Linked DNA regions of Anolis sagrei. The protein of the gene in region 1 binds, or shares a complex with, the protein of each later gene. Links are inferred from orthologs where the notes say so. Each region holds a gene or a part of one and is shown in the gene's direction. Other genes may lie near its edges.

Region 1 (10,188 bases):
AAAGGAGATGTCAACAAACCTGTCCCTTATCCGCCCTTCCAAGGATGTTGGAGAGGGAATTTAAAGTTCGGACCAAAACCAGGAATGGATCCAAGACTTGGAGCTATGGCCTTACCTTGATCCGAGAGAGGAAGATGCAAACCCAAGCTGGGAACAACCTCTGCTGTCTGCTCCGCGTCTCTTGCGTCAGATGCCACAAAACTCTCCAAAACAATGGCGGGAGCCTCCTAACGTTGGGCTTGACTCAACAACCAGATGATGTCATTCTGGTCACAAAAGCCACCTGTCTGTTTGTCCATGACCAGGTGTCTCGCACCAAACAATGCTGAGCGCCCAACAAAGGAGAGCCATGGCGGAAGGAGGCGTCCTTTGAGTTCTGGATCCTAGAAGAGCAGACTGATCAGATTTGCAGGTGACTTCCCTCGTTCTGGATCAGTGTTTCTCAACCTGGGGGTTGGGGCCCCGGGGGGGGGGGGGCGGGCGTCGCAAAGGGGTGTCAGAGGGGTCGCCAAAGACTTTCAGAAAACACAGATTTCCTGTTGGTCATGGGGGTTCTGTGTGGGAAGTTTGGCCCAATTCTATCATTGGTGGGGTTCAGAACGCTCCTTGATTGTAGGTGAACTATAAATCCCAGCAACTACAACTCCCAAATGTCAAAGTCTATTTTCCCCAAAGTCCATCAGTGTTCACATTTGGGCATATTGGGTATCCATGCCAAGTTTGGTCCAGATCCATCATTGTTTGAGCCCACAGTGCTCTCTGGATGTAGGCGAACTACAACTCCCAAACTCAAGGTCAATGCCCACCAAACCCTTACAGTATTTTCTGTTGGTCATGGAAGTTCTCTGTGCCAAGTTTGGTTCAATTCCATTGTTGGTGGGGTTTGGAATGCTCTTTGTTTACATGTTAACTATAAATCCCAGCAACTACAACTCCCAAATGACAAAATCAATCCCACCAGTATTCAAATGTGGGCATACCGGGTATTTGTGCCAAATTTGGTCCAGTGAATGAAAATACATCCTGAAGATCATTATTTACATGGTGATTCATAACGTTAGGGTTATGGCTGGAGGTCACCACAACATGAGGAACTGTATTAAGGGGTCGCGGCATTAGGAAGGTTGAGAACCACTGTTCTGGACACTATCCTCCCTTGGATGCAGCCTAGAATCGTGTTGGCCCTTTTAGCTGCTGCATCACAGTCTTGGCTCACGTTCAGCTTGTGGTTTACCAAGCCCCTTGACTCCCTTTCACATGTGAAATAGAGCCATTTAAAATGGCTGCGGATAGTGAGAGTTGAGCCGCGGATGGCGAAACCTGAACCGCGGATACCGAGACCTGATACATGGTTACCGGTATCCGATACGTGGTTACCAGTACCAGCGACAGTCCACCCAATATTTTGAAATTCCCGCTCCCGTCCAGCTGGACCTGACGGAGCAGTGATTGGCCAAGCTCTGATGATGTCAGAATAGCTGATGGAGGATTCCCCGCAGAGGTGGGACTGTGGTGCCCGCCAGCCAATCAGAGAGCATTCTCCACTCCTAATGCAGATTTCTGCCCTCCAATGGCTGACAGAGCGCAAAATGGAAACTTCACACAGAGGAGACGTAGTTTTATGGTTGGATTACCTTGTCCCAACTCCGGGACGAACAAAGTGGGACCTTTAGGTCTAATGTTGTGATTGTTGTATTTATGAGCCCCAACTGTGTGGGTCTGGTGCTTCCACTGTATTTTTAAACAGAATATTGTCCATGATGATAGGATTATGAATCCGTTCCTGGGAAAAAGGGGAAATTGCAATGTGGAAAGTGGGGTACTGCCAGCCCCCCCCCCCCAACTTAATGGGACTTGGTATCCGCGGTTCAGGTTTCGCTATCCACAACGAGGATCTCATCATCTGCAGCCGGTTCAAATTGCTCTATTTCAAGAAGAAGGAAATGGAGAAGAAGGAGAGGGAGGAGAGGAGGAGAAGGAGATGAGAAGATGGAGAAGGAGAAGAGAAGGAAATGGAGAAGGAGATGGAGGAGAGGAGGAGAGGAAGAGGAGAATGAGATGGAGAAGGAGAAGAGAAGGAAATGGAGAAGGAGAAGGTGAAGATGGAGGAAAGGATGAGAAGGGGACAGAGGAGAGGAAAAGAAGGAGAAGAGAAGGAAATGCAGAAGGAGAGGAGGAGAAGGAGAAGAAAAGGAAATGGAGAAGGAGATGGAGGAGGAGAAGGAGATGGAGAAGGTGAAGATAGAGGAAAGGATGAGAAGGAGACGGAAGAGAGGAGAAGAAAGAGAAGGAGGAGAAGAGAAGGAAATGGAGAAGAAGGAGATGGAGAAGGTGAAGATGAAGAAAAGGATGAGAAGGAGACAGAGGGGTGGAGGAGGGGAGGAGGAGAAGGAGATGGAGGAGAGGAGAAGAAGAGGAGAAGGAGATGGAGAAGGTGAAGATGGAGGAAAGGATGAGAAAGAGACAGAGGGGAGGATGAGAAGAGGATAAGGAGAAGAGAAGGAAAGGCAGAAGGAGAAGAAGGAGAGGAGGAGAAGGCAATGTAAAGGGAGAAGAGAAGGAAATGGAGAAGGAGACGGAGGGGAGGAGGGGAAGGAGAAGAGAAGGAGAGGCAGAAGGAGAAGAAGGCGAGGAGGAGAAGGCGATGTAGAGGGAGAAGAGAAGGAAATGGAGAAGGAGACGGAGGGGAGGAGGGGAAGGAGAAGAGAAAGAGAGGCAGCAGGAGAAGAAGGCAGAAGGAGGAGAAGGAGAGGAGGAGAAGGCGATGTAAAGGGAGAAGAGAAGGAAATGGAGAAGGAGACGGAGGGGAGGAGGGGAAGGAGAAGAGAAGGAGAGGCAGAAGGAGAAGAAGGAGAGGAGGAGAAGGCGATGTAGAGGGAGAAGAGAAGGAAATGGAGAAGGAGACGGAGGGGAGGAGGGGAAGGAGAAGAGAAGGAGAGGCAGCAGGAGAAGAAGGCAGAAGGAGGAGAAGGAGAAGAGAAGGAAATGGAGAAGGAGATGGAGAAGGTGAAGATGGAGGAAAGAATAGAAGGAGACAGAAGAGAAGAGGAGAAGGAAATGCAGAAGGAGACGAAGGAGAGGAGGAGAAGAGGAGAAGTAGAAGAGAAGGAAATTGAGAAGGAGGAGAAGGAGATGGAGGAGAAGGAGATGGAGAAGGTGAAGATGGAGGAAAGGATGAGAAGGAGACGGAGGAGAGGAGAAGCGGAGGAGATGGAGATGGAGAGGAAGAAGAGAAGGAAATGGAGGAGAAGGAGAGGAGGAGAAGGAGAAACAGAAAGAGAAGAAGAGAAGAAGGAGAGGATGAAAAGGCGGAGAGAAGAAAAAGATGGAGGAGAAGAAGGAGAAGAAAAGAAGGAGAGAATGAGAAGAGAAAAAGAAGGAGAAGAAGACAAGAAGAAGGTGGAGAAGAAGAAGTCAGCAACAATAACAAATACTCCTAACAGATCTCTGATAGATTGGCATTGATAATGCAATTGTTGATCTTTCGGACTGGTGGACTTTGTGATTCAGATGGGCACCTTCATGGAACCAGTTGCCTCACCTCCGAGGCCTTGATACTATCTGTAGTAACCTTAATGATTAGTGCAGGGCACCTCTCCCATTAAGCACATCCTGGAAGTGGGTCCAGATTGGTGGCTTGTTCCTCCCATTTCGCCGGAGGCCAAACCCTGTCATTTTGGTTTCCCTTCCACCTTGAGTGGCTTTGCCCAGAACTGGACATGGGGTTGTCCTGGGTGAGAAGGTTTGGCCAAGCAGAAGAAGGCTTCCCTCGCGGTCAACACTGCATATTGCATGGGCCTTTTGAGCCGCCCAAGATGGAGAGGGCAGGATGACCTTTGGGAAGGAAACCTTGGGAGAGCATGATAATTAAGCATCAGGCTGATGCTCGGTGCATTTCCACTCCGGCCTTGCATTTCAATTGCAGCTCATGCGCCTTCTGGAGGCGGACATGAAAGACGTGTTGAGCGCCAGATAAGCCTTTTTAATTGGCCAACATGTATAATTCATCGTGGGCCATTGCCAAACACATAGGCGTGCATGGACACGCGTGTGTCTTCAATTACACGTCCCAGGTGAGCTCGGAATTATCTTTTTGGCATTATATAAAGTTAGTGGGGCAATGAATCCACTCCTCTGCTAAACATACATATCATAGAATCTTAGAGTTGGAAGGGACCCTAAAGGCCATCCAGTCCAACCCTCTTTCGCCAGGCTGGGAGACACCATCCAATCTCTCTCAACAGATAGCCATCCAGGCTCTGCTAAATATACATATCATAGAATCCTAGAGTTGGAAGGGACTCTCGAGCCATCCAGTCCAACCCCCTTAGGCCTTTGCCGATCCCACAAAACTCTGATCTCCGATAGTTCTGGGTGGCTGTGGGTTTTCCGGGCTGGCCACCATGATTAGCATTTAGTGGCCTTGCAGCTTCAAAGCCTGGCTGATTGCTGCCCAGTGGGAATTTTACCAGTATTTAAAAAAACTCTAATATCAGGAAGAGGGGCCAACCAAGGGCAAGATGGATGGATGGCATCCTTGAAGTGACTGGATTGACCTTGAAGGAGCTGGGGGTGGTGACGGCCAACAGGGAGCTCTGGCGTGGGCTGGTCCATGAGGTCATGAAGAGTCGGAAACGACTGAACGAAGGAACAGCAATATCAGTAAAGTAAATAAAGAGCAATGCTCAAAAAACAAGGAAATTCCAGACAAGAATCTATAAGGGACAGCTAACACCTTCCAACAAAGGTTCCCTCCAGGCAGCAATCAGCCAGGCTTTGAAGCTACAAGGCCATCAAATGCTAATCAAGGTGGCCAATTGTCACATTCACACTTGCCTCAAACAGACAAGAGTTCTCTCTCCTACGCTGGACATTATTCCGCCGGTATATAGATGGCCATCCAGCCTCTGCTAACCATACATATCATAGAATCCTAGAGTTGGAAGGGACCCTAAAGGCCATCCAGTCCAACCCTCTTTCGCCAGGCCAGGAGACACCATCCAATCTCTCTCAACAGATAGCCATCCAGCCTCTGCTAAACATACATATCATAGAACCCTAGAGTTGGAAGGGACCCTAAAGGCCATCCAGTCCAACCCTCTTTCGCCAGGCCGGGAGACACCATCCAATCTCTCTCAACAGATAGCCATCCAGGCTCTGCTAAACATACATATCATAGAATCCTAGAGTTGGAAGGGACCCTCGAGGCCATCCAGTCCAACCCCTTCCGCCAGGCAGGAAGACACCATCCAATCCCTCTCGACAGATAGTCATCCTCCCTCTGCTAAACATACATATCATAGAAACTTAGAGTTGGAAGGGACCCTAAAGGCCATCCAGTCCAACCCGCTTCTGTCATAAGGAAAGACAGCATGAAGGCCTTCCGGAGAGATGACCATCCAGCCTTTGCTTCAAGAACCTCCAGAGAAGGCAACTCAATCACACATCATCCAATGGGAGGGCCATCTGTTGAGAGGGTTTTGCCTGTGCCTTTCTGCCGGTCCGAAAGCGGTTGGACTGGATGCCCTTTGGGGGTCTCTTCCGGTGCTTTCAGGAGACCTTTGACCCCACCCTTGGGGATAATCATGCCTTGAGTCCCTGTTTTGGAACAAAAACAGGATGTAAACAAAGTGAGTAAGTAAAGTTATAAATCAGTAGAGTGGTGCTTAAAGTGAATTAATCTCACAGTGTAGATGCATACGAGGAGAGGGAAATGGAGGTGGAGGAAACCAGATGAGCCCAGGAGGACATCCTTTCCATTTCCGGCCCGCAATGACGATCCCAATGGCTCTCTTCTTTCTCCACCCACTTTATAATTTTCTGCTTGTTCTTTCTTGGCACCTGGCAAGTTATTTAACTCAGCTCCGCAGTTAAATAAGGGAGGCTCCAGGGCAAAGGTCTTGTGATTGTGGGATCATCAGCCAGCCGGTGGCAAAGGACAAAGCTGCGGGCCTTGACTATCTTGGATCAGCACAAAGAGCCGGCAAAAGAACGCCTCGTAGGAACAGAACAGTCTCCGATACGGTGAGTTTCAATCCCATAGAGCTCGACCATAGGCAGCCTGAGCTGTCCAACAGTGGGATAGGATGATTTAAGGGGGTCTGGATGGCCATCTGTCGGGAGGGATCGGATGGTGTCTTCCTGTATGGCAGAAGGGGGTTGAACTGGATGGCCTTGGGGGTCCTTTCCAACTAAAGATATGAATATAGATTAACAGAGGCTGGATGGCCATCTTTCAGGAGGGATCGGATGGTGTCTACCTTTATGGCAGAAGAGTTTCGAACTGGATGGTCCTTGGGGTCCTTTCCAACTAAAGATACTAATATAGATTAATTAACAGAGGCTGGATGGCCATCTGTCGGGAGGGATCGGATGGTGTCTTCCTGTATGGCAGAAGGGGGTTGAACTGGATGGCCCTTGGGATCCTTTCCAACTAAGGATACTGATATAGATTAACTAACAGAGGCTGGATGGCCATCTGTCGGGAGGGATCGGATGGTGTCTTCCTTTATGGCAGAAGGGGGTTGAACTGGATGGTCCTTGGGGTCCTTTCCAACTAAGGATACTGATATAGATTAACTAACAGAGGCTGGATGGCCATCTGTCGGGAGGGATCGGATGGTGTCTTCCTGTATGGCAGAAGGGGGTTGAACTGGATGGCCCTTGGGATCCTTTCCAACTAAGGATACTGATATAGATTAACTAACAGAGGCTGGATGGCCATCTGTCGGGAGGGATCGGATGGTGTCTTCCTGTATGGCAGAAGGGGGTTGAACTGGATGGCCCTTGGGATCCTTTCCAACTAAGGATACTGATATAGATTAACTAACAGAGGCTGGATGGCCATCTGTCGGGAGGGATCGGATGGTGTCTTCCTTTATGGCAGAAGGGGGTTGAACTGGATGGTCCTTGGGGTCCTTTCCAACTAAAGATACTAATATAGATTAATTAACAGAGGCTGGATGGCCATCTGTCGGGAGGGATCGGATGGTGTCTTCCTTTATGGCAGAAGGGGTTAAACTGGATGACCCTTGGGATCCTTTCCAACTAAGGATACTGATATAGATTAACTAACAGAGGCTGGATGGCCATCTGTCGGGAGGGATCGGATGGTGTCTTCCTTTATGGCAGAAGAGTTTTGAACTGGATGGTCCTTGGGGTCCTTTCCAACTAAAGATACTAATATAGATTAATTAACAGAGGCTGAGTGGCCATCTGTTGGGAGGGATCGGATGGTGTCTTCCTTTATGGCAGAAGGGGGTTGAACTGGATGTGTGTGTGTGTGGATATGTGTATATATACATGTTTGTATGTATATATACACATATCCACACACAAATATACATATATACACACACAATATATATACACATATACCTTATGTGTATATATATACACACATACATACATACATACATACACACCTATATACATATATTCCTACATTTGTATACACACATAAATATATAAAAATAAGTATGTGTGTGTGTGTGGATATGTGTATATATACATGTTTGTATGTATATATATACACATATGTGTATGTATATATGTGTGTGTGGATATGTGTATATATACATGTTTGTATGTATATATCCACATATCCACACACACATATATACATATATACACACACAATATATATACACATATACCTTATGTGTATATATATACACACATACATACATACATACATACACACCTATATACATATATTCCTACATTTGTATACACACATAAATATATAAAAATAAGTATGTGTGTGTGTGTGGATATGTGTATATATACATGTTTGTATGTATATATATACACATATGTGTATGTATATATGTGTGTGTGGATATGTGTATATATACATGTTTGTATGTATATATACACATATCCACACACACATATATACATATATACACACACAATATATATACACATATACCTTATGTGTATATATATACACACATACATACATACATACATACACACCTATATACATATATTCCTACATTTGTATACACACATAAATATATAAAAATAAGTATGTGTGTGTGTGTGGATATGTGTATATATACATGTTTGTATGTATATATATACACATATGTGTATGTATATATGTGTGTGTGGATATGTGTATATATACATGTTTGTATGTATATATACACATATCCACACACACACATATATACACATACATACATACACACCTATATACATATATTCCTACATTTGTATACACACATAAGTATATACAAATAAGTGTGTGTGTGTGTGGATATGTGTATATATACATATGTTTGTATGTATATATACACATATCCACACACATATATACATATACATATATACGCACAATATATAATATATACACTTATACTGTATGTATGTATATATATATATATACATACACATACACACAGAGTTGTCATCAGGAAAAGTAACTTTTCCAAGCTGTGCCCAGTTCTGCCAGAAACCCCACTGAAAGGGCAAGCTCTCGAATCCTCCCTCCTCCTTCATTAGTACGCGTGCGCAAAAAAACCTCGCTAGTACGCATGCGTAAAACCACAGCCTCTTTTCTCTCCTGTCAGCTGAGGACTGTGTGGGACGTACCACTGCGGGAGAAGGGGGGGGTGTTCAGCGGTGAGTTTAGACTTCCCTTGGAGGGGAATGGTTTCCCCTGGCAACCCTTCGTGTGTGGGGGGGGGGGGGAAGAAAAGTAAAGACGGAGAGGGGTGCAAAATGGGAGGTTGGGAAATGGAGTTGGGAGTGTGGCTTTTTTGATTCCTTGCTTCCCCCCTCTCGGAGCAGTGGTACGATCCAGAGCTGTAGCCCCGCCCCCTGGGGAGTCTTGGCCTGGCTGAGAGTCGGCTGTTTCTCTCGCCACTCGACGGTCGTCCGCTTTGGCTCAGTGGAGCGTCTCCCGGTGAGGGCCCGAAGGGGGACACGAGCCCCGTTTGGGGGTTCCGGGGGTCTTTGGTTCCGGGGTTCTGCTTTGGGGGGAAAAAGTGACTCAAGGGCCGGACTTTGGACCTAAAGGGATGGACATTGAGAGAGGGGAGGTTCATTGAGGTGTGTGGGGGGTGCCATTTATATATTTTGAGGGTTGTCTTAGCTATATTTTTGTATTGGGGAGTGTGTTATCTCTATTCCTTCCTTCCTTTTGGTTTTGAGAGGCCTTAGTTATATTCCTGGCTTCCTTTTTGTATTTTGGGGAGGGGGTCAACTCTATTCCTTCCTTTTTGTATTGGGGAGGGTCTTAGCTCTCTTTCTTTTTGTATTGGGGAGGGTCTTTGCTCCATTCCTGACTCCATTTTTGTATTGGGGAGGGTCTTAGTTGTATTCCTGACTCCCTTTTTGTATTGGGGAGGGTCTTAGCTCAATTCCTGGCATCCTTTTTGTATTGGGGAGGGTCTTAGCTCAAATCCTGGCTTCCTTTTTGTATTGAGGAGGGTCTTAGCTCTATTCCTAGCTTCCTTTTTGTATTGAGGAGGGTCTTAGCTCTCTTTCTGGCTTCCTTTTTGTATTGAGGAGGGTCTTAGCTCAATTCCTGGCTTCCTTTTTTATTGGGGAGGGTTTTTGCTCTCTTCCTAGCTTCCTTTCTGTATTGAGGAGGGTCTTTGCTCTCTTCCTAGCTTCCTTTTTGTATTGGGGAGGATCTTAGTTCTATTCCTGTCTTTCTTTTTGTATTGGGGAGGGTCTTAGCTCTCTTCCTGACTCTCTTTTTGTATCGGGGAGGGTCTTAGCTCTCTTCCTGGCTTCCTTTTTGTATTGGGGAGGGTCTTAGTTCTATTCCTGTCTTTCTTTTTGTATTGGGGAGGGTCTTAGCTCTCTTCCTGGCTTCCTTTTTGTATTGGGGAGGATCTTAGTTCTATTCCTGTCTTTCTTTTTGTATTGGGGAGGGTCTTAGCTCTCTTCCTGACTCTCTTTTTGTATTAGGGAGGGTCTTAGCTCTATTCCTGGCTTCCTTTTTGCATTGGGGAGGGTCTTAGGTTTTGGATGACCTCCTAGGTTCCTTTTAATAACGCTGTGTGTATTTTAATAGATGTGTTTTAATTATCCCTCTGTTTACAAGCCGAGAGCAGAGGCAGCTGATGGTGATGATTGACCAGCAATTTTGGGTCCCTCTCCCCATTTCCCCCTCTTTTCCCAGCCTTGTCCTGGAGGGACAGGTTGTCATGTGGGTACTGTGTGGTTTTT
Region 2 (10,413 bases), on another chromosome or scaffold:
GTCGGGGTCCTGTACCCTAACCCCACCCCATGGCAGCAGAGTACATACAGTACTTTCATTTCTTCTTCACTATTCACTGTTGTGTTACAGCTGGATAAAAATGATTAGCTTAATTTTGCAATTATTGGGCATCTTTCAGTCTCCACAAAACTGTTAATACATCCCCTTAGGAATAGCTCTTTCCTGTTGCACAGCTGCGCATGTTGCTCCTTGACTCAGCACTTCCCTTCATTGTTGTTTTTGCTGAGTCATTGTCAGATACATCCCAAAAGGAAACATTCCTTTTGCTGAGTAACACATACATCTTCCTCCAAGTTTGGCGTCTGGCTGTGTTCCCTGCAGCTCGAACAAAGACAGCAAGTCTGGAAAAGAGCCTAAGGCTGACTTTCAGATTTATTTTCATGTTCACTAGGAATATAGAGAAGCTTTTTTGAATCAAGTCAAGTTTATTATTATAATCTACACATCAAACGTAAAGTCCATTAAAATGCATTAAACTTGCACTAATATACAACATAATTGCCTAACAAAGCACTGATATATAACATAATTGCCTGACATGCCAGTTATTTGAACTCTTCTTGTAATTACATTGTATGAAGACACTGGCACTGCTTTTTAACAGAAATATTTTTTTCTCTTCAAAACAAGTTGTTCATAATTTAGCTGAACTAGCAGGTAAGAAAATCAAGAATCAGGAAATAAATTTCTCATTGAAATTCATTATAAAAATAATGAGAGATATAGTAGTAATTAAAAAAATTACATTAGCACCACAAGGGCACAAAGGAAAAGGATGTCAAGATTTGGTGAATATTTTATATTATAAGTGTATCAGTCATGAGGCTAAAGAGAGAGGCATAAAGATCTCTCATATATATGACACCTATGTGCGTTGCATTGAACTTATGAGGTGGGGGAGGGGGAGGAAAAATGGGATACATAGCTAATAAAGAAAATTCTTTGAAAATGCAATGAATTAGTGGTGATAATGGAGGCAATACTGAACAAACTATGGAAAATGTTTCCTCATGGTTTTGGCAAAGCTGGGGTTTTTTGGTTTTGTTCTTTGGAAAACCACAGGAAGGGAAGAACTAAACTAAACAATTGTTCTCTCTTTTCCCCAAACACCCAAAAGTGAATGTTCTCATTCACCTACCCCACATGGCACCATACACACACAAAAAGATATGATTGTATTAAATGTCCATGAAATACCGTCCTATTAATTTGCAGAAAACAAAAAACTTGATGAGATGAGGACATGGTATAGAGCAGGGGTCCTCAAACTAAGGCCCAGGGGCCGGATACGGCCCTCCAAAGTCATTTACCCGGCCCTCACTCAGGGTCAACTTAAATCTGAAAGGACTTGAAAGCACACAACAACAACAACAACAACAACAACAACAACAACAATAACAATCCTATCTCATCAGCCAAAAGCAGGTCCACACTTCCCATTGAAATACTAATAAGTTAAAATTGCTCTTCATTTTAATTATTGTATTGTTTTAAAGTGGGTTTTTTTTGCACTACAAATAAGATATGTGCAGTTTGCATATGAATTCATTCATTTTTTTCTTATTATAATCCGGCCCTCCAACAGTTCTAGGGGCTGTGACCTGGCCCTCTGTTTAAAAAGTTTGAGGACCCCTGGTATAGAGCATTCTCTGCAAAGAGGTTGCTGGCTGGAGTATTGAGAGCAGTACTTAGAGATAGAACATTTTTGCAGGTCCTGAGTATTTCTGGCATTTATTGCTTATTGGGTATGGGTATTGTTTGGAGCCACCCAATACCTGCATATATTTATTCAGCATTACCATTCTGCCTCAGCCTTCCTTTGTGGAGTATCTGGCTTGGGTGCTTTTTTCTATAACATAAAAGCCAACATGAGGAGTAGAGCAACAAAACACAGATAATAAAATTCCATTAGTAGCAGAAAAGTAACTTCACTTGAGATGCAGTTGTCCTTGCCCTGTGCGAAGCTAATCGCTCCATTCTTAGCCAGACACCAGCAAAAAAATAAGTAATTTAAAATGATAAAAAGAATTTGAATACAATTTGAAACAGTCTAAAATAATGTGAACAATGTAAACAATTTAAAACAAGTTCAAACTTTATATACCAATTCCATCAAATATACAAACACGCCCAGATGGTAAAGAGACATATTTTATAATGGTGCCCAGTTGAAGTCCTTGTTTGTTAAATAAGCCTCAGAGGAGAGGACATTTCACAACTGTGATGGTACAACAGAAAAGTCACTATGTCTTCACATCCATCAGATCTCAGTTCTCAGGTAAATATTTAAAGAGAGAGGGGTGATCTTTGAAAAGCGGCAGTCATTGAAGACTTATCTGTCATCACAAACATTCATATCAGAAACATATTGGTAGTCTGTTGGCCATCATCTCTCTCAACTTAATAGTAAAACCAGCTGATGAAAGCAATACATTTATCACCTCATTTTTGAAAGAACCCAAGGGGTGCTCACCAATGCTTCCTCGTCATCCTGGAAAGAAGTGATGAATGGAATGCCACAAAGTTCTGTTCTGGGCCGGCCCTGTTCAACATCTTTATTAATGTCTTAGATGAAGGGTTAGAAGGCATGATCATCAAGTTTGCAGATGACACCAAATTGGGAAAGATAGCCAATACTCCAGAAGACAGGAGCAGAATTCAAAACTATCTTAACAGATTAGAGAGATGGGCCAAAACTAACAAAATGAAGTTCAACAGTGACAAATGCAAGATACTTAGGCAGAAAAAAATGGAATGGAATGGGGGACACCTGGATTGATAGCAGTACGTGTGAAAAAGATCTTGGAGTCTGCATGGACAACAAGTTAAACATGAGCCAACAAGGTGATGTCTAGTGTCCAGGTCCAGGGAAGTTATGCTACCTCTCCATTCTGCCTTGGTCAGACCACACCTGGAATCACACTGTGTCCAGTTTTGGGCACCACAATTGAAGGGAGATGTTGACAAGCTAGAATGTGTTCAGAGGAGTGTGAGTAAAATGATCAAGGGTCTGGAGAACAAGCCCCATGAAGAGCGGCTTAAAGAGCTGGGCATGTTTAGCCTGAAGAAGGGAAGGCTGAGAGGAGACATATGGCCATGTATAAATACATGAGGGGAAATCATAGGGAGGAGGGAGCAAGCTTGTTTTCTACTGCCCTGGAGACCAGGATGCAGAACAATGGCTTCAAACTACAGGAAAGTAGATTCTACCTGAACATGAGGAAGAAGTTCCTGACTGTGAGAGCTGTTTGGCGGTGGAACTCTCTCTTTCTGCCCCAGAGTGTGGTGGAGGCTCCTTCTTTGGGGGTTTTTAAGCAGAGGTTGGATGACCATCTGTCAGGGGTGCGTTGAATGCGATTTTCTGGCTTCTTGATTCTATGATTCATTCATTTAACCTTTACAACAATCTAGTAAATTAGGCTGAGATATAATGTGCAGCCTAAGGTCATTCAACATGCGTTATAGCTAAGCAAGATTTCAAAGCCAGGTCATGCCACCCATTTCTGTCTCCAGTACTGCACACTCTATATGAATTATTCTTAATCCCTGACAATCATGATGACTTTGTGACATTACATGGATCATATTGTATTGTACTCATTGCTCCTTTTCTATTCTTCCCATTTCAAATAGAAACATTATAATAAACCACTGGACAAAAATAACAACCAAATGGGTGATATCAGTGAAACTCCGATGTAACACTACTTATTACAGGCACTGATAGCAGGTAAAGATAAGATTGGGTGGAAGCATCTTTTGTGCTTCAAGTAGGGTAAAAGGAAAGTATTCCTTCTGAAGGTTTTCATCTCTGCTACTTCCTTTTAAAGGTAAATTATGTCAAGAATTCCTCAGTCATGGGTGAACACAATGCATCTGTCACCTCACATGGATCCATTGAATACTTATCCACAAATGTGGCTCCTTGCTGTGTCATATTAAGATTCAACAGCATGATGGTGAGGACATGGTGACTCCTGGCAGAATTGTATAACTGTTTTATATTTGATACCAAGAATTTGTACAGCAGCAATACAGCTATCGGCAGAGCTGAGAACATTTTGCAATAGGGTTTGTGATTTCTCCAGTTGCTTCGAAAGGAGAAAAGAGAAGTTGAGAAGCTCAGCTGAGTCAGCAGGACTGTCACTGCATGTCATACGTCCTAAAGGGTCACTCGGTCACTCACCTCAATTAAAATGTCTGCCTTTCCAGTTAAACAACACTTTTGTATATTTCAATAATAGAGTGGTGCTGAATCTGCATTAAATATGCAGATGGACAATCAGGTTTGGGGAACCTTGAACTTAGGGCAGTGGTTCTTAACCTGTGGGCCGTGGACCACCAGTGGGCCACGAGGACAAAAATCTGGTCCATGAGCCTTCTTCATCTTTATTTTATTTTATTTTATTTTTGCTCCTTTCATGCCACCTGCCACTCCTTCCCTGTCACTGACCATGGCATATATTCTGTATCAGAAACTAGAGCTGATATGGTCTATTCAATACAATTTTCTGAATCAGCACTCTAAACTGACTCTAAAGTTGATCAAAAACTGATTTGTAACTCTTTTGGTAGAAATGTTGCAGAGTGGTCCCTGGTCAAGTGGTCCCTGGTCAAAAAAAGGTTGGGAACCACTGACTTAGGGCCATGTTCCCTTCCAGTGTAATTTGTCAGTTGGTGGACAAAGACCCCTTCTTCTTTTCTTATATTATTGTTAATAATACCCTGCCTTATCTTCCCAAAGGGGACTCAAAGAAGCTTTTATTTGCCTCATCTTTGCCTCACCCTGTTTTCTTTCTCCACTCTCTTTCCCCCTCTTTTAAGGAATAGGAACACCTGGATATTTTGATGTTTATCATCCTTGTGGGAGGCTCCTCTCATGTCCCCACATGGGGAGCTGAAGCTGGCAGTGGGAGCTCATCTGAGCTCTCCCCGGATTTGAACCTCTGACCTGTCAGTCTTCAGTCCTGCCAGCAAAAGGGTTTTAACCCATTGCGCCACCGAGGACAGTTCTTAGCACATTGTATTTCCCATCACTGATTTGAGTTTTGTTCTAGTTTGTTTTCCATTTCACTCTAAATATAGCAGCAAAGGTGTTTTCCTGCATCATCTTCTCTCTTTGCATTCTTCATACATGCTGTTTTTTCTCTTTAAAAACAAAGGCAAAGACACATATGCTTTTATTTAGAATCATGGCTCTCACTAGTCATATACACAATATAAAGTTTTCTGTGACTTCAAATGAAGAAAAGGCGTTAATCATGTGGTTGGACAAAGTACCTAGCATATATATTTTAAAGAGCTGTTTCTCGCCATCCTGTCTTGCTGAGTTGTCAAATTGCATCAAGTGACTTTTCCTCCTCCCTAAAAGGGGAAGAAGCCACCCCACTGAGAGAGAGAGGGGACACAAAAGGCATAGATGTCTCTATATTGTGCAAAGGGACTGTACAGTGAGGTCAGATGTTTCCTGGGCTGAGCACGTGACCTGCAAAGAGGCATATAAAGGAAGATGCCAGCGCCGGGCAGACACACTCAGAAACTTCTCCGACTCTGAGCGGGAGGAAAGAAAACTCAAGGCACGCAGTAACATCCCGGAGGAAACGAAAAGCAGGCGAGGATGGCACACAGCTCGGAAAGGTAAGGAGGACAAGTGGCGAGGTCTCCTTTCCCCAGAAACCCACGCTGGATTTTGCAAAGCTTGTTTCAGGGTGCATCTACACCAGGCATGGGCAAACTTCAGCCCTCCGGGTGTTTTGGACTTCAGCTCTCACAATTCCCAACAGCCTGCTGTTAGGAATTATGGGAGTTGAAGTCTAAAACCCTTGGAGGGCCGAAGTTTGCCCATGCCTGCTCTACACTGTACAATTAATGCAGTCTGACACCACTTTAACCAGGGCTCAGTGGTATGGCATCCTGGGAGCTGGATTTTTACAAGGTCTTTCATCTTAGATGCCAAAGAAGGCTCATGCCTCCACAAACTACAGCTCCCAGAATTTCACAGCATCAACACAGGGAAAACTGCATTAATTCTACAATTAATGCACAATGTCAAACTGCATTAATTATACAGTGTAGATTTATTTATTTATTTATTTATTTATTTCTATCCCACCCATTTCAGCCCGAAGGCAACTCAGGGCGGCATACAAAATCGGCACAATTAGATGCTGTGTGCATATATACACAAATATATACACACACACACACACACACACACAACACAGTTAAGAACAATTACATTACATCATAAATGCATATAAAACATAAAGGCAATAAAAACTATATAAGTCTATATACAAGTACGTTTTCTCACTATCTGCACATGTACATCAGAGTTTTCCAAATTCTAACTTTGAGATTCAGGACACTATTATAACTTTTCAGATGTTTACTATGCATATATATATCCTGTACATGTGTGTGTGTGTATATTGCAGTTTGTGTAAACTAAGGGCCCTGCCACATAACCCTATATCCCAGAATATCAAGGCAGAAAATCCCACAATATCTGCTTTGAACTGGGATATCTGAGGCCACACTGCCACATATTCCAGTTCAAAGCAGATGATGTGGGATTGTATACAGCTGTTCGGAGGGGGCCTCAGAGTTTGGTTTATTTTGCACCTGGATCCAATTGTTAGATACCAGTGTTCCAATATGCAATAAAGTATATTTTGCACACTTGCTCATCCATGGCTTAACTCTACTTACAGGGCCTTTCCACACAGCCCTATATACCAGAATATCAAGGCAGAATTTTTTATTTATTTATTTATTTATTTACTTTATTTATATACCGCTTTTCTCAGCCCTCAGGTGACTCAAAGCGGTGAACAACATTGATACAAAACATCACGAGACAAGTATAGGGCAATTAAAAACAATTGTAACATAAATCATTAACATCAGAATAATAATCATTAGCGCCTCAACAGTAAAATCAGAATCCAGTCTCATCATCCATTATTCTGTATTCCTATGTTCAATTATACTGTTTAATCAAATGCTTGTTCGAACAGCCAGGTCTTCACTTTCCTCCAAAACGCCAGCAGGGAGGGGGCCGATCTGATATCTGCAGGCAGGGCGTTCCACAGCCGAGGGGCCACCACTGAGAAGGCCCTGTCTCTCGTCCCCGCCAAGCATGCCCGTGATGCAGGCGGGTCAGAGAGCAGGGCCTCCCCAGATGATCTTAGTGTCCTAGTCCCACAATATCTGCTTTGAAGTGGGTTGAGTCCACACTCAGATAATGTGGGATTTTCTGCCTTGATATTCTGGGATATAGGGTTGTTGCTGTCAAAAGGTGGTTCTCAAAGTTTTCTTGATGCTGGTTTAGGGATTCAGTACACATTACATTGACTTTTCAAAGCTCTGACGTGTACTATACGTATATCTTCTGTACATATGTGCGTATATATTAATGCTTATGTGTGCTGAGTGTTATATTTGATGCTTGAGTGGACTGGATCTTTCTAAAGCTATTTCCCCCCCCCCCCCTCTAAATTGGTGGTTCTCAAAGCTTTTATTGAGAATTTGGGACATTATAGTATGTTTTCTAAGCTCTGGTTTATGCTATACACATGTATTATGTACACATGTGTACATGGATTATAGTTTATGTGAGCCGAGTGATACATTTGATGCTCAAATGGGCTGTATTTTCCTCCCCCAAGCTTCATCCCCACTAAAACAGTGAGTCCCAAATGCTACTCCTCTAGGCACTGTGAACTTCAACTCCTAGGGCTCTTCCACACAGTCATATAGCCAGAATATCAGGGCAGAAAATGCCACAATATCTGCTTTGAACTAGGTTATCTGAGACCACACTGCTATATATTCCAGTTCAAAACAGAAAATATGGGATTTTATTCAACTATGTGATGGGGCCCCCAGAAGCTTCAACCACCTCAACCAACAAATAAGGATTCTGGGAATCAAAATCCAAAACACCTGGAGGTCCACAGTTCAGACAACATTTCATCAGTTTGCCTTCAAGGTCCCAGTTGAGCATCCCATGTCCAGAATTCTCAAATCTAAAACTGTCCACATAATTGGCAGGGATAATGATATGTTTGCATTCTGAGAGTATTCAAAATGTGTTTCATGCTCAACAACCTCAAGACAGATAATTCACAATATCTGCTTTGAACTGAGGGCCCTTCCACACAGCCCTATATTCCAGAATATCAAGGCAGAAAACCCCGCAATATCTGCTTTGAAATGGGATGTATGGCAGTGTGGACTCAGATAACCCTGATGTGTATAAGGCGTATAGTAAGTTTCCCCTGACATTAAGTCTAGATGTGTTGGACTCTGGAGGATGCTGCTCATTTCCATTTCTAAGCCAAAGAGCCAGTCTTGTCCGTAGACACCTCCAAAGTGATGTGACTGGCATGACTGCACAAAGCAATACCTATTGATCTACTTACATTTGCATGTTTTTGAACTGCTAGGTTGGCAGAAGCTGGGCCTAACAGCGGGAGCTCACAGCACTCCCCGGATTCAAACCTTTTGGCCAGCAAGTTCAGCAGCTTAGCGGTTTAACCTGTTGTGCCACCAGGTGTATACAAAGCATAAACGAATTTCGTGTTTTGACACTTCTTTCTGAATTCAAACCTCTTTTCAACAGGATGTCCCATCGGGATTTGTCAGAAGCTCTGAAGGAAAGCACTAAAGAGGTCCACGTCCAGGCGGAGAGCACTCAGTTCATGGAGAGCTTCCAGAAGGGGCAGGTGTCCCTCCGTGAATTTAAGGTACCTGTGGGTTACTTTATAGGACTTATAGTCGCAATCAGAAATGGGGAAACTTTGAGATTTCATAAAATGGAAAATGTGGGGTTGGAATGTTTTATATAAAATAAAACTGTCAATATCCTGCTATTTTAATAGCCTGTGTCTAAGTTAATAGGGATCCCTTCCACGGTCTTTGAATAAGAGCTGTGCTGCCTCAACTAGTTAGTAGGAGCCCCCGGTGGCGCAGTGGGTTAAACCCCTGTGCCGGCAGGACTGAAGACTGACAGGTTGCAGGTTCAAATCCAGGGAGAGGCGGATGAGCTTCCTCTATCAGCTCCAGCTCCTCATGCAGGGACATGAGAGAAGCCTCCCACAAGGATGATAAAAAAACATCAATTCATCCAGGCGTCTCCTGGGCAACATCCTTGCAGACAACTAATTCTCACACACCAGAAGCAACTTGCAGTTTCTCAAGTCGCTCCTGACACAACACCAAAAAAAAAACTAGTTAGTCCCAACAGGGCCTGAATCCTGCTGTGATTTCCAGCTAAAGGAGATCAATTGCTCCAATGGGAGTTGCCTGTGTATAAACTCATCATTTAATATTTGATTCAATGGGACTACCCTCATTGGTTTTAGGACAGTTTAGCTTTCAGGGTGAAATGTTCACTTTTAACAATGTTAAGTAATTTAAAAAGTTTTCGCTTGTTAGTATAGTATAGTAATGTATATACAGTCAGCGCAAAGTATCCATGGATTTTACCATCCAGTGCTTGAAAAATATTTTTTTGATCCCCCAAAACCTTGATTTTGACATTTTATAGTATTTTTACTACACCACTATATGTAACAAGAGTTGAGCATCCAATGCATTTTGGAATCCACAGGGGTTCAGTGGATACCAAGAGCCCATTGTATAAGGTGAGAAAGGTTCTACACAGTTGTATAAAATCCACATTGAACTGAACTATATGGCAGTGTGGTCTCAGGGCCCTTCCACAAAGCCCTATATCCCAGAATATCAAGGCAGAAAATCCCACAATATCTGTTTTGAACTGGGTTAGCTGAGTCTACACTACCATATGTCCCGTTTCAAAGCAGATATTGTGTGGCTTTCTGTCTTGATATTCTTGGATATAGGCCTGTGTGGAAGGGCCCATTGTTGTTGTTCTATGCCTTCAAGTAGCTTCCGACATGACAACCCTAGAGCAAACCTATAAGAAGTTTTTTTTGTAAGATATTTTGCCTTTGCCTTCCTTTGAAATTGAAAGAATGTGACTTGCCCAAAATCACCCAATTGTAGCTTGCTGGGATTTATAACTCATTGAAATATAAAAGTAGTTTATTAAAGCTTGGACTGTAATCCATTTGAATATAAAACAAATAAGTATGATATAAAATACCACAGTATAAAAGCAGCCCATAAAAATTAACATGTAAATCTCATGTATTAAAAATGGGAATATATACACTTAGGAAAAGTTTAAAAGATAAGAGGGTCTAAACATCATTATATATTTCATCATTATTACAATTTAATTGAATAGTAATTTAGCAATAACATATAGTTCTGGGATGTGTAGTTGAATTCCACTTCATTCCAAGGGAAACAGCACAGTTCCCATGTTCGTTTGGAGATTGAAATTAACTCTGCTTTCAGAAC

What was found. Proteins that work in one complex are often made in the same cells at the same time.
Region 2: the proteins of POR (region 1) and HMOX1 are in contact, whole or in part, in a crystal structure (PDB 3WKT), measured with the Rattus norvegicus proteins. The link is inferred for Anolis sagrei from reciprocal best matches to the Homo sapiens genes POR and HMOX1. Residues at the interface, in NP_113764.1 of Rattus norvegicus: Thr88, Thr177, Asp208, Asp209, Arg313, Arg514, Lys515, Gln517, Arg519, Leu520, Phe522, Lys523, His626, Lys665, Met667, Thr668, Lys669, Gly670, Tyr672; in NP_036712.1 of Rattus norvegicus: Asp12, Ser14, Glu15, Gln38, Ala75, Pro76, Glu81, Lys149, Ile150, Lys153, Ser171, Asp173, Asn174, Thr176, Lys177, Phe178, Lys179, Gln180, Leu181, Arg183, Ala184, Arg185, Asn187, Thr188.

Annotation. Positions count from the first base shown.
Region 1 is NC_090031.1:33,154,637-33,164,824, reverse strand, and holds the start of POR (NADPH--cytochrome P450 reductase), read left to right. Parts: upstream 1-5,897; 5' UTR 5,898-6,024; intron 6,025-8,799; exon of another isoform or gene 8,800-8,914; intron 8,915-10,188. UniProt on the Homo sapiens protein: This enzyme is required for electron transfer from NADP to cytochrome P450 in microsomes. It can also provide electron transfer to heme oxygenase and cytochrome B5.
Region 2 is NC_090025.1:167,337,003-167,347,415, reverse strand, and holds the start of HMOX1 (heme oxygenase 1), read left to right. Parts: upstream 1-5,522; 5' UTR 5,523-5,638; coding exon 5,639-5,658; intron 5,659-8,647; coding exon 8,648-8,771; intron 8,772-10,413.